3 linked regions of the Cricetulus griseus genome follow. The protein of the gene in region 3 binds, or shares a complex with, the protein of the main gene of each other region. Links are inferred from orthologs where the notes say so. Each region holds a gene or a part of one and is shown on either strand. Other genes may lie near its edges.

Region 1 (4,230 bases), on a different chromosome or scaffold from region 3:
TACTTGTTATTCTGCTGGGGCTCACATGTAACTTCTAGTGGCAAGGCTGGGCAACCTAGAGCCTGAGCTGGATGTTGGGACCCCAGTTGGGGCTGACTTCACAGCTAACTGGCTATGTGACAGTAAGCACAGTACTGAGCATCTCTTTCCCTGGCTATCCTGCTATCCTCGGAATGAACTGAGAGAGGAGTACAAAGTATAAACAGATGTTGTAGTCAGTTGGGAGCAGGGCTGAGAAGATAGCTCAGCTGGTAAAGAGCTTGTGGCCAAAGCAAAGGAACCTGAGTTCCATCCTCAATTCAGGCAGGTAAAATGGTTACTAACCAGCCAGTCTAAACCTAATTTGTGAGCTCCAGGCACCTTGTCTCAAATAACTCCTGAGGAACAGCGTCCCTGAGGCTGACATCTGGTTGGCTTCCACATGTGAACTACAGGCTCACACAAATAGATGGGAGAGATGATAAAGAACCATTAGGACCAGGAGAAAAGAGAGAGAGGTGAAATGTGCAGCTTAAAGACCCAGTGTGAAAGGTGTTCTGGATTCTTCTGTTAGCCTGAGGTTTGATGCAGTATGGGCAGTCACACACAGACATAGTTCACTCCTGCATTGTCCGTGTGACTGCCCCTGAAAATCAGGCTAGGAAAAAATGAAAAAATAAAATAAAACCCAGAGAAGCAATTGGTCAAGGGAATGAGAAAAACAAAACCCTAATAATCTACAATTAGGAAAGACGGTAGGAGGTCTTGTAGAGTGCTCTGAAGTGCTGCTGTCTGGGGGAAGGAGGCACCTGGGTGGGGGGGGGGTGCCTTACCTCTGAGTCTCCCTGACTGCTTGGAGGCCTTCATGCAGTTTCCTAGGCCCATTAGGCTCTCTAGGTCGTTTCAAATAAACCGCCCACCCCATGCTCCTCCATCTGGTGACCAGAGGTTAAACTAATATGTTTGCAGACGGTCATGGAGAGCTGGGTGCCAACAGCCTAACTCAGGGGAATCCAAGTATGTGTGTCTTGAAACAATTCTACCCTCCATTACCTCGACATCTAGAAGCCTATAAACAAAAGAAGAAGTGGATTGGGCAAGCCAGTCTGCTGAAATCTTAACAGCCGAGGGCCAGGCTGACCACTGGGCCCAATACCCTAGGAGTAAGGGGGGTAGGGAGGTGGAGGCTTGATGGGCCTGGGAAGGTGGTGAGGCTGTCACGTAGGGCAGGGCCGGGACTGGGCGGCGTTCCAGAGAGGGTGAGTCACCCGGAGCAGGGTGGGCACAGGCCGGGGAGGGGAGGGGAGGCGTGGCGGCTTTACGCAGGGAGGATGGGGCGGGTATAAAAGCCCCACCCAGCCCAGCCGGGCCGCTCGGCTTCTGGGGAGGCTTTCAGCGCTAGGCGCCCGGCCCAGGTAAGTGGGGCGCGGCCCGGTCATCCGCTATGGCCTCGGGGTTTCGGTGTTGAACCGGGAGCGGGCAGGCTCCGACGACGGGGACCCTGGGAGGCACCAAGAAGGATCCATCCCCTTGGGCGATCTACGCGTCCTGCCACAGAGTTGCAAAGTGTCCCGTGTGGGGTCGTGACACGTCTCTTTGCATACCACGCCTGGGGGGGGTGCAGGGCAGAGGTGGAGGAGACTGTGCTTCCCCTTGAGGTCCCCTGAGAAGCAGGGAGACCCTGTGTGGGGCGGGGAACCGAGGGGCTCGGCATTCCAGAGGTGCTAGGTGCCAACGGGGGACTGGGTGTGGCCGCTGGGGAGCCTGCAGCCCAACAGTGAGACATCTGTGGACTTTTCCCCTCCGCCTTCCGAACTGCGTCGTCCTCTCACTCTGAACCATAACTCCTGCAATTTCAGGTGTATTTCTTTGCTACTGACAAACGTAAATTTGTGAAGTCGGCGCGGGGAACCGGGCGAGGGCGGGGGCGGCGGCACCAGAACTTCAAGTCTTGAGTTCTTGGTGCCCTCCTTTACACAAAACAATCTCAGCTCAGTCTTTGTCGCGAACTCTAGATTGTTTGGTAGGACAGCGACCTCAGACCCTATTCTTTCTGAGGAGTTTGCCGCCCTGGAACGTGTGCAGAAAGAAGTATCCCCGGGTGGTTCAGTAGAGAAAGTTGCCTTGACTGCACTGAAGCCACCATGAGTCAATTGACAGAGTCTATAGAAAAGGGCGTGGCTCCTGAGCCCCAGGTTCCAATGCTGGCATGGAGGGCTGTGGCTCCAGAAGTTTCTTTATCTATAAAAGTGGTTTCCGAACCCTTGTTCTTAGCTCCACCCACACTGAGTTATTGAAGATTTCCGAAAACAAGTTCATTCAAAAATAGATAAGTAAAGCACACTGAAAACACAGCGTTGTACAAATATAAAAGAAAACAAAAAGCTGTTACTTGAGACATAGCGGTAATCTCAAAACTCGGAAGACCGAGGCAGCAAGATCCTGAGTTTGAATCCAGCCTGAGCTACAAAGTGAGACACCATCCTCCCCCTGACCCCCGTCTCAAAAAACAAACAAACAAAACGGAGAGCTGATCTAGCTCATTGGTAGAGTACCCCACTAAGACACACAAGATCCAGGCTTTTATTCCCAGAACCAGAATAACCAGAAAGTTATTCATTTGTGTAGTAATTTGCCATATTCAGTCCCAGCCCTTAACAACAACCATAAACTCTTGGAATCCAAGGTCCTCAGCCTTTAACATACAGGGGTATTATCAGATGAGTCTGCAACTTGGACTGGGAAGCCACTTCCCGGCTCTCCCCCAGGAACACTATAGAAGGAGTTTGGAAACCCATGCTAGCACACTCCCCCACCCCAATTAATTAATTTGCACTGTATCTGAGTGCTGCCTAATGGCAAGGAGCAGGATACAAGATGGGAGGGCGAGGGGTGGTCCATGGGTAGGAATAATAAATCACTGATGCGGTTTTCAGGGTTTTCTCCGTTTAGTTTTAAATATAGATTTGATTAAATCGTGTTAATTGAAAACTTGTGTCTTTGCCCCCTTCTCTGGTTTCTTTTTCCTGCTTCCCTGCCACCTTCTTGCGGTCTGTGTCCCTTGATGTGTTACGTTGGCTTTGGACACTTGAGCGGCCCCTCCTCCACACCCACTTCCTCTTCATTTCAGTGTGTGCTGCGCCCAGCCAAAGCCTGTGGGTCTGAGTCAGGGAACCTGAAGATGGCAGATGAGATCAGGGCAGAGCCCCGTCCTCTTCCACTGAGTCCACTGCTCACCTTAGATCCCGGGGTTTCTTTAGAAGAGCCCGTCGCCTCTGCTGCAGCAGGGGCAACCTCCTAGGTGCGCACCTTTCTGTTGAGGGTTTCCTGTTTGGTGTGGTAGAGAGAGAAGTTCAGGAAGTTTTGCTAACTAGCCAGGCAGCACTTAAGGCTTTGACTGAGAGCTTGGGTTTGGACTGGTGCCTCTCAATGTTTCACATCCTGTGTCTTTGAGTTATTAAAATACCCTATTGATTGGCATTACACATGCAGTCTTGGCCACTGGCTTCCTGACTAAGTTCCGATTTAAGTAGTTTTCCTGGCAAGACAGGCACTCTCCTAAATTGCTATTGATTTTTGAGAACTCTCATCTCTCTCTGCACCTTTGGGCCTGCATTAATGTGTGTGAGGGTTGATGGGAACTTTGGCTCTAATTCTTGGCTTGTGCTGGGTGCCAGACCTGTTTCATCTGGGGAGAGTGGGTGTGTTACAAAAGGAGTCCCAGGCACTGTGGGCTGCTTTCAGCATCCATTTGTCTTACAAACTGTCTTTTACGTACCCACTGTGTCCCAATCACAGTTATGGTACTGAGGATACAGTAGTAGACTAGACACACATGCATGCATATTCGTTCACTGTGTGCTTGTACATACAAACACAGCCCTTGCCTTTCAGATTTTGAATCTTTTAGGGAAAGAAAAAAAAAGAAAAGATACGTGTGTTAATTGTAGAGATAGCAATTTGATTTGACATTTTGTATTTTCCTAAACTAATATTTACTCACAAAACCAGCTGGGTCTCCATTCCCAGCTTCTATACAGTTGTTTCACAGACCTAGACATGGAGCTGAGCTTATCCCAAAGAGGTGTCTAAATAAACTGGATTTAACCTGTTCTTCACAATCAACTGGGAGACTTGAGTAGAAGTTGGCTGTTCTCTTTTTCTGCACCTACAAATAACCACCCCCCCCAAGCCACACCCTTCTCTAGCTGTGGGCCTGCCATCCAGAGAGGAAATTCCAGTCCTTAACAG
Region 2 (2,352 bases), on a different chromosome or scaffold from region 3:
TCTGGACACCTCTGGAGGTGTCTTTTCCGGACACCCAGTAGCTGCCATCTCAGGATGGGACCTGGGCTGACCCATGAGACCAGTGAAGGAGCCAGCCTATGGAGAATCTGAGGCTTGGGACCCAGCATGGTCCTCATTACTTCCAAGTCTCAGTTCTGAGCCCCAAGACAGCTAGGCAGGGTCTCTCACTAGAACAGCCCACAAAGCTCCCAGTTCTGGGTGTGGGCTATGGGTTCCCACCCAAACTCCATACTTCTCAGAACAAATGAAGACTGCTTGTGAAGCCTGGAAGACAGAGCTCATTCCTGACCCGACCGGCACTGACTGCCCTCAGTTTGGGTGGGGTACCTACTTGGTCTCATTGTCCAGCTGTTCCTCCAGCTGTGCAATCTTGGCCTCCAAGGCAGCAATGGAGGCCTTGTATTTGGACTTGACAGCACTCTCCATCTCCTGCAGCTTGGCCTTGAGCTCCTTGTTCTGGCGTTCGAGCTGCTGCCGCGCATTCTCGTTCTTCTGAGCATGACTGCGCTCCAGGTTCAGGTCGGTGTTTATCTGGTCAATCTGCAAGAAGGCAGTACGGTGACCTCAAGGGAGGGCTGGGGCCCAGCTGCATGGACCCTCTCCTCAGACATCAGAACCAAAGAACACCCCAGCTCTCTCAGAGAGGAATCTACTCATGAACAGGACCCAGAAACTTCTGAAGCCTGGTCTTGAAGCCACGGGTCAGAGGCATTGTGAGAACAGTGGACACTCATCCATCCTATTTCTGCCCGCCATGGTCTGCTGGACCACAGGGAGCTCAGGCAAAGAGTCTTGATCCCAGTATGCAGGGTCAGCGGCCACCACGATGCTCACCTGCAGGTTGGCCTTCTTCAGCCGGTCGTTGATCAGCTCTGTGTTACCCTGCTCCTCCTCCAGCTCCTCCTCCAGCTGGGCAATGCGGGCCTCTAGGCGCCGCTTCTCCTCCAACGCGAGTGCCCTGGAGAGGACCCAGAGACGTGAGGGCTTGGGTAACTGGGGAGGCCCTCAGACACCCTTGCTTGTGCTTCCTCCCTCTGGCTCACCCTTTGCCACTGCTGTTGGCGATCTCGTCAGCCAGCTCGTCCCGTTCCTGTTGGGCCTGGCGCTTAGCACGCTCAGCAGCTGCCAATTCCTGCCACAAGGACCAAGAACATAAATGACTGGGACCAACACAGCCTTCAGCGCCGCATGTCCTCTCTGGCCCTCAGCACATACCTCTGTTCCTCTAGCTCACAGGGTCAATTCCAGCCCGAGGCACCTTTAGGCATGTGTTTATAAAGCCCCTATGCCTAAGTACTTGGAGCCAAGCCAGGAGCCAGGGCTATAAACAGGAACCACCCAGGCCTAACAGGGACAGCTTGTGTGGACAGACCTGCAGTACTGGTCCCCTGCATATGGTCAGACCAGATACTGAGATGATTAATGAAGCAGGCTTGAGTGCAGGTTAGAGTCCAGGACTCTGCCACTAAGGGCAGCAGACAGACTGTAGAAACCTCCAGAGCACCACGCATGACGGTGACAATGGAGGGAGTTATCCTACACCCAGTAGAAGAGAAGAACCATGCCAGAGCAGAGGGTCTGACCAAGCATTTCATAAGCCGGCGGTGGCACTTTGTGGGAAGTCCACCACCCCACCTGTCCCCACCATGTGCTTCATGTGTCACCAAAGCAGCAGCCCAGGGGGCACTCAGGACCCTCCTTGCCATGTGCAATCGCTGTAAGCTTATAATCAACACACCGCTTCATGGGATGGACTGGGGACTAAGCAGTCACATTTTCTTTTAAAAGGTGGGGAGTACTGAGTCTCATCCTTGTCCCCATTACACATGTTCATGAGCATGAACGCATACACCATGCCATGCCAACTGTGTGGCTAGGGCATGAGCCCTGGAAGGACCCCTCCCATTAACTCCTGCCAGGAGGTAGCTCAGCTTTTCTGCCCTTCCCTTCTGGGCTGAGGCCTACTAACAGGAAAAGGCCCCAGGCTGCCCCCTGCTGGCCAGGAGGCAGAAGCCCCGTGCCCCACAGCTGGCCCACCTCCTGCAGCTGAATCATCTCAGCCTCCATGCTCTTGAACTTCTTCTCATTCTCCTTGGCCTGCGCCAGGATCTCCTCTCGGGAGGCGCGCGTGTCATCCAGCTCCCGCATGCAGTCCTTCATCTGGGCCTGTGTGCAGCAAGAGAGTCTGGCGTCTCCACCTACTTCACACCCGTGGGGACCTCTCTGAGCCTGGGACCATTTTGGCCAACCTCTTTATAAACAGGCAGAAAAGTAACCAAAGGCAAGTGGCTCTGCACCTGGATCCTCCTCCAAGGACTTACACAGCATTTC
Region 3 (4,123 bases):
AGTTTGAGCCCAGAGGCAGATCTGGAGAGAGAAAGGAGGGTGGTGGACTGGCTAACTTCCCACATCTGGAGCCTTTCAAGCCAAGCCTCTGGTGGCTTCTGCCTTAAGTATTCCCAAAGTTTTCTTTGTTGCACGTATGTGCGCGCACACACACACACACACACACACACACACTTGCATGCTAGTTAAATCAGCCACTCAACCCCTACCCAACCCTTTCTAGTTTTGTTCCCTCAAGGCTCAACTCCCAGCTCAACTCCCCGCAGTCCCCACCACTACCCTGTGATATACCCTCCCTCAACACCCAACCCACAATCTCCAGTCTCTTAGGCAACAGCACATAGTTTCAAGACTCTTTATTGAACTCGCTCAGCATTGTGCATATGTATGAAGAAGCCAGAGTAAGGCACTATGCTCAGAGCCAAAAGGGAAGAGCCCCCTCCTCCCGAAGACCACGCCCCCACACTTCATCTGCAGAGTCTTCACTTCTTCCGGGGCTGTTTATCTGGGCAGCCTTCAAAGAATTCATTGCACATCATGGCAATGCAGGACAGGAAGACGCAGTACTCCTGGAAGTCTACTTCGTTATCCCTGTTGCTGTCCAGGTTGCTCATCAGCTTCTGGAATCCTGCTTCATCTCTCTTTTTCTGGGAGTAGAAGAAGAACAGTTAGAAGCCAGACCCAAGCTAGATCTCTGCCTCCAGCCAGGTGTTCAGGAACACCTGAGTGCCTCTGGGCACTCAGGAAGCCTTGGGACTAAGCTATGTAGAGGAGGATGTGCCCTAGATGCGGGCACTTGAGGTAGCTGGGAACGGGGAGGACCACATCTTCTCCTTGTTTGCTTTAATTATCTCATTAGGTAGCAGCCATGGCAGTGATGCATTAAATTAACTAATGCAAGGTGTTATTGAGGAGAGACTCTGCAGGTGTTTGTGTGCCTCCACCATCGTGTCTTCACAAACAGAAACTCAATTTCTCTTGCCAACAGTCCTGATCTAGCCTGCAGTTCAGACACTGACTATGTTAGGCAGTTGTTTTGCTTTTTCTCTGTCTCTTCGGTTGTGTTCATTCTAAGCCTTCTCTCAGCTGAGGGCTAATGAGGGATAGATGGTTCACTGTGGTTCCACACCAAGCACCCGGAGCAAGCTCTCCAACCTCCATTTCCCCACCTTAGAGATATACGCCAACTGTAGCTAGGCACTACCTACCAGAGTCCCAACCTCCTCCTGGGGATGCACCACACATGAAATACACAGGCAGGACCCACTCACCCCCAAAAAGCTAGGCAGCTCCCTGGTCAGCAGCTCCTTCAGCTCAGACTTGTTGAGCTTGAACTTATCACCCTCTTTGCCTGAGTATTTGTGGAAGGTAGACACCATCATATCCAGGGCCTCTTCTAAGGGGTATTCCATGGTGACAGTTGAGAGCTAGGGGCAGGAGACACAAAGGTAGCCTTACCCAACCCACACCAACAGTGTATCAAGAACTGGCTATGTGGCACTGCTCATCACCCAAGTCATAGACTCATTCTGCCCCCATTTTAAATGCTCCATTCCAACCTACCCTCTAGGAACACTTCAGGAGACTGTCCTCATTCCCAGAGAGATCAGAGGAGTGGGACCCACTAATGGCAAGATGGTCGTGTATGCTTTGGGCTCTGAAACATGCAGAGCCTACCATACAATCTCTGGAGATTCGTGCCAGCAGCTTTTGGGCTGACTGTCCTCGGGCCTGGCCTCAACAACAGCAGTTTTCCGTCCTTGCTCAGCTCAACCACAAGCACCAGGCTCTGGCCCGTTCTTCCCCCTCCCAGCATTGGGCGCGGCTGCTGGCTGCCTGCCCATGGGCCCACAGCGGAAAAAACCCAGCTGCCTATTGACCAGCTTAGTGAGGAGTGAGATGAGGTGGCAGAGGTAGGGGCACAAGGGGAGGGTGGGGAAGCCAGGCTCTCTTGACCTGGGGTGCTGGATGTCCATAAGGCACTAATATGAACACAGAAGTCTACAGGTGAGTGCTGGAGTGGTAGCCTGTAAGTAGAGGTGCCTGCCACTAAGCTTGATGGCCTGAGTTTGATCCCCAGAGCCCATGGTAGAAGGAGCAGACTGACTCCCTCCCACAAGTTGCCCTCTTACCTCCACAAGTGCACCTTGGCATGAGCCCCCCATCCCCAACCCACGCATGCATGCACACAAATAAATAACTGAAGTTTAAACGTTAAGAAGAAAGCCTACATGTTCCCTCACTTTGCTTCCTGCACCTGCTTTCCCGCACACACTGGCTTGAATGACCCAGCAAACACCCATCAGGGTACCTATCCATGGCTCCCAAACACAGATGTACACTGTAGCAACAACACGTGTAAGCCTCAGCATCTTAGAAATCTTGAGAGCTCAAATGGCATCTATACACCTTTTTGTTGCTGTTTTCATTCTTGTGCAACACACACAGACACACACAGACACACAGACACACAGACACACAGACACACACACACACACACACACACACACACACACACACACACACACACACACACAGCCTCCACATCAGAATCTCTCATCTGGATCTAGTAAAAACATCTGTCTCCCCAGAAGCCTCCCTTTCTCCTGTCCCAGCCTCAGCCTCTGACACCACTAATACTGCTATGAAGCCAACACAACTCACCAGACCCAGAGAGAGGAAGTGCTGAACAGAGAGGTTTGGGGAAAGCTCAAATGTCTGCCCTATTTATACTCTGCTGGGCCCTGCCCATGCAGGGGATGGGGGGAGCTTGGATACTATGTTCCTACTGTTGGCTGATGTAGTAAATGTCACAGGCCCCTCCACCAGCCCAACCTGAGAACCAAGCTTCCTACTACCCAGCAGGCACAGGCGAGCATTGAGTAAGCCCCAGTGGACACGAGAGACCTGAATGGTGTGGATACCACCCAGTAGCCACAGCTCAGCCAACTTTTAAGGAAGCTTTGAGAAGGGGCAACATGGGCATGGGATGTGGGCCACAGGAAAGAAGATGGGGAGGTGATGGGCAAGAGGGGAATATGGAAATGTATGGCCCAGGAATTGGGGAGGTGACCCCGGCCAGTGGGACAGTCAGCCCTTCTCTCCAGCCTAAACAGCTCTCTGTCACGCTCAGTAAGACCCAGAGTGAAGACTGGCAAGTCGGGAGGGGCCTTGGTACCACCCTAGGTATTAAGTGGGAAACGCCTAAGAGGGCGTGATGGAGTTAGGGCAGTAATGAGGCCTCGAGGTTCATGAATGGGTAGAAGGTCCAGGGAGGGTATTGGGGCTGATGGGAGCATTCAGGTTTGAACACTCAGCTTGGAGAAGAGAGTTACAGGAGAAACAGGTAAAATGGGGAGTCAGGATTAATCTCTAAGGATGGGGTACAAATACGGGGATTGAGCAATGGTCAGAAATGGGAACTTGGGACCCTCAGGGGCTGTGGTTTCAGAGATGAGGACTGACTCAAAGTATCCCTTTCCCCTTGCAGTAAATACAGAGGCTCCCTCCCTGGCTGGCAGCAAATACCTCAGAGGCCCCAATCCTATTGCTACTGCTCTCTGGTTTCCCACAGCTATGCCACACCCATACCCACATACCTCGATGCTCTAATCACAAGTACTGAGTTTCTCCCAAGGAGCCTCTTGCCCTCCTAGAAAGCCCAAAACAAGGGCTTCCACCTCAAGACAGGGGACAGAGAGATGGAGACAAAGACCCCCAGCCTCACCTGATGGGGACTTGTAATGGCCCCACCTTCCTACTGAATACTGAGACTTATGCATTCCTATGGGGTCTGGAACTGCCTTTAGGGCCCCTGCCTTCAGCTGCCTTCCTCCAGCGATATGGAACATAGAGGGGTAAAGACTCCCAAGGACTCAGTCCCAAAATCCAGTGTGTCCCATCAGAAGAACCAAACCAAGCCAAGCTGACATTTCTTTATTAGGAGTTGAGCAGGCCCCTGCCACAGTGTGCACATGGCTGAGCCTCCAAAGTGAGAGAGCAAATGTTCTCCCTTCCAAGAAGAGAAGCTACTGTTCCACCCCTCACTACTTTGACATCCCTAGGAAAGCTTCTACTGTGCATGAGTAGCCAGGGTTAGCACATCAGGGACCTGGCAAGCCCC

The links.
Region 1: the proteins of S100a4 (region 3) and Anxa2 are in contact, whole or in part, in a crystal structure (PDB 5LPU), measured with the Homo sapiens proteins. The link is inferred for Cricetulus griseus from reciprocal best matches to the Homo sapiens genes S100A4 and ANXA2. Residues at the interface, in NP_002952.1 of Homo sapiens: Lys35, Leu38, Pro43, Ser44, Phe45, Leu46, Gly47, Lys48, Arg49, Thr50, Asp51, Ala54, Phe55, Lys57, Leu58, Asn61, Leu62, Gln73, Phe78, Cys81, Ile82, Met84, Met85, Glu88, Phe89, Phe93; in NP_001002857.1 of Homo sapiens: Leu13, Glu14, Pro21, Ser22, Ala23, Tyr24, Ser26, Val27, Lys28, Tyr30, Thr31, Asn32, Phe33, Glu36, Arg37, Leu40, Thr44, Gln69, Asp70, Phe73, Arg77, Arg78.
Region 2: the proteins of S100a4 (region 3) and Myh9 are in contact, whole or in part, in an NMR structure (PDB 2LNK), measured with the Homo sapiens proteins. The link is inferred for Cricetulus griseus from reciprocal best matches to the Homo sapiens genes S100A4 and MYH9. Residues at the interface, in NP_002952.1 of Homo sapiens: Leu38, Ser44, Phe45, Leu46, Gly47, Lys48, Arg49, Thr50, Asp51, Ala54, Phe55, Lys57, Leu58, Asn61, Leu62, Ser64, Gln73, Glu74, Cys76, Val77, Phe78, Ser80, Cys81, Ile82, Met84, Met85, Cys86, Glu88, Phe89, Phe90; in NP_002464.1 of Homo sapiens: Thr1906, Ala1909, Met1910, Glu1913, Val1914, Ser1915, Leu1917, Lys1918, Lys1920, Leu1921, Arg1922, Asp1925, Leu1926, Pro1927, Phe1928, Val1929, Val1930, Pro1931, Arg1932, Met1934, Ala1935.

Annotation. Positions count from the first base shown.
Region 1 is NC_048597.1:181,008,864-181,013,093, forward strand, and holds the start of Anxa2 (annexin A2), read left to right. Parts: upstream 1-1,286; 5' UTR 1,287-1,394; intron 1,395-4,230. UniProt on the Homo sapiens protein: Calcium-regulated membrane-binding protein whose affinity for calcium is greatly enhanced by anionic phospholipids. It binds two calcium ions with high affinity. May be involved in heat-stress response.
Region 2 is NC_048595.1:374,865,621-374,867,972, forward strand, and holds part of Myh9 (myosin-9), read right to left. Parts: intron 2,188-2,352; coding exon 2,059-2,187; intron 1,154-2,058; coding exon 1,065-1,153; intron 980-1,064; coding exon 856-979; intron 562-855; coding exon 353-561; intron 1-352. UniProt on the Homo sapiens protein: Cellular myosin that appears to play a role in cytokinesis, cell shape, and specialized functions such as secretion and capping. Required for cortical actin clearance prior to oocyte exocytosis. Promotes cell motility in conjunction with S100A4.
Region 3 is NW_023276806.1:63,942,417-63,946,539, forward strand, and holds S100a4 (protein S100-A4), read right to left. Parts: upstream 2,822-4,123; 5' UTR 2,665-2,821; intron 1,625-2,664; exon of another isoform or gene 1,564-1,624; intron 1,428-1,563; 5' UTR 1,413-1,427; coding exon 1,272-1,412; intron 648-1,271; coding exon 483-647; downstream 1-482. UniProt on the Homo sapiens protein: Calcium-binding protein that plays a role in various cellular processes including motility, angiogenesis, cell differentiation, apoptosis, and autophagy.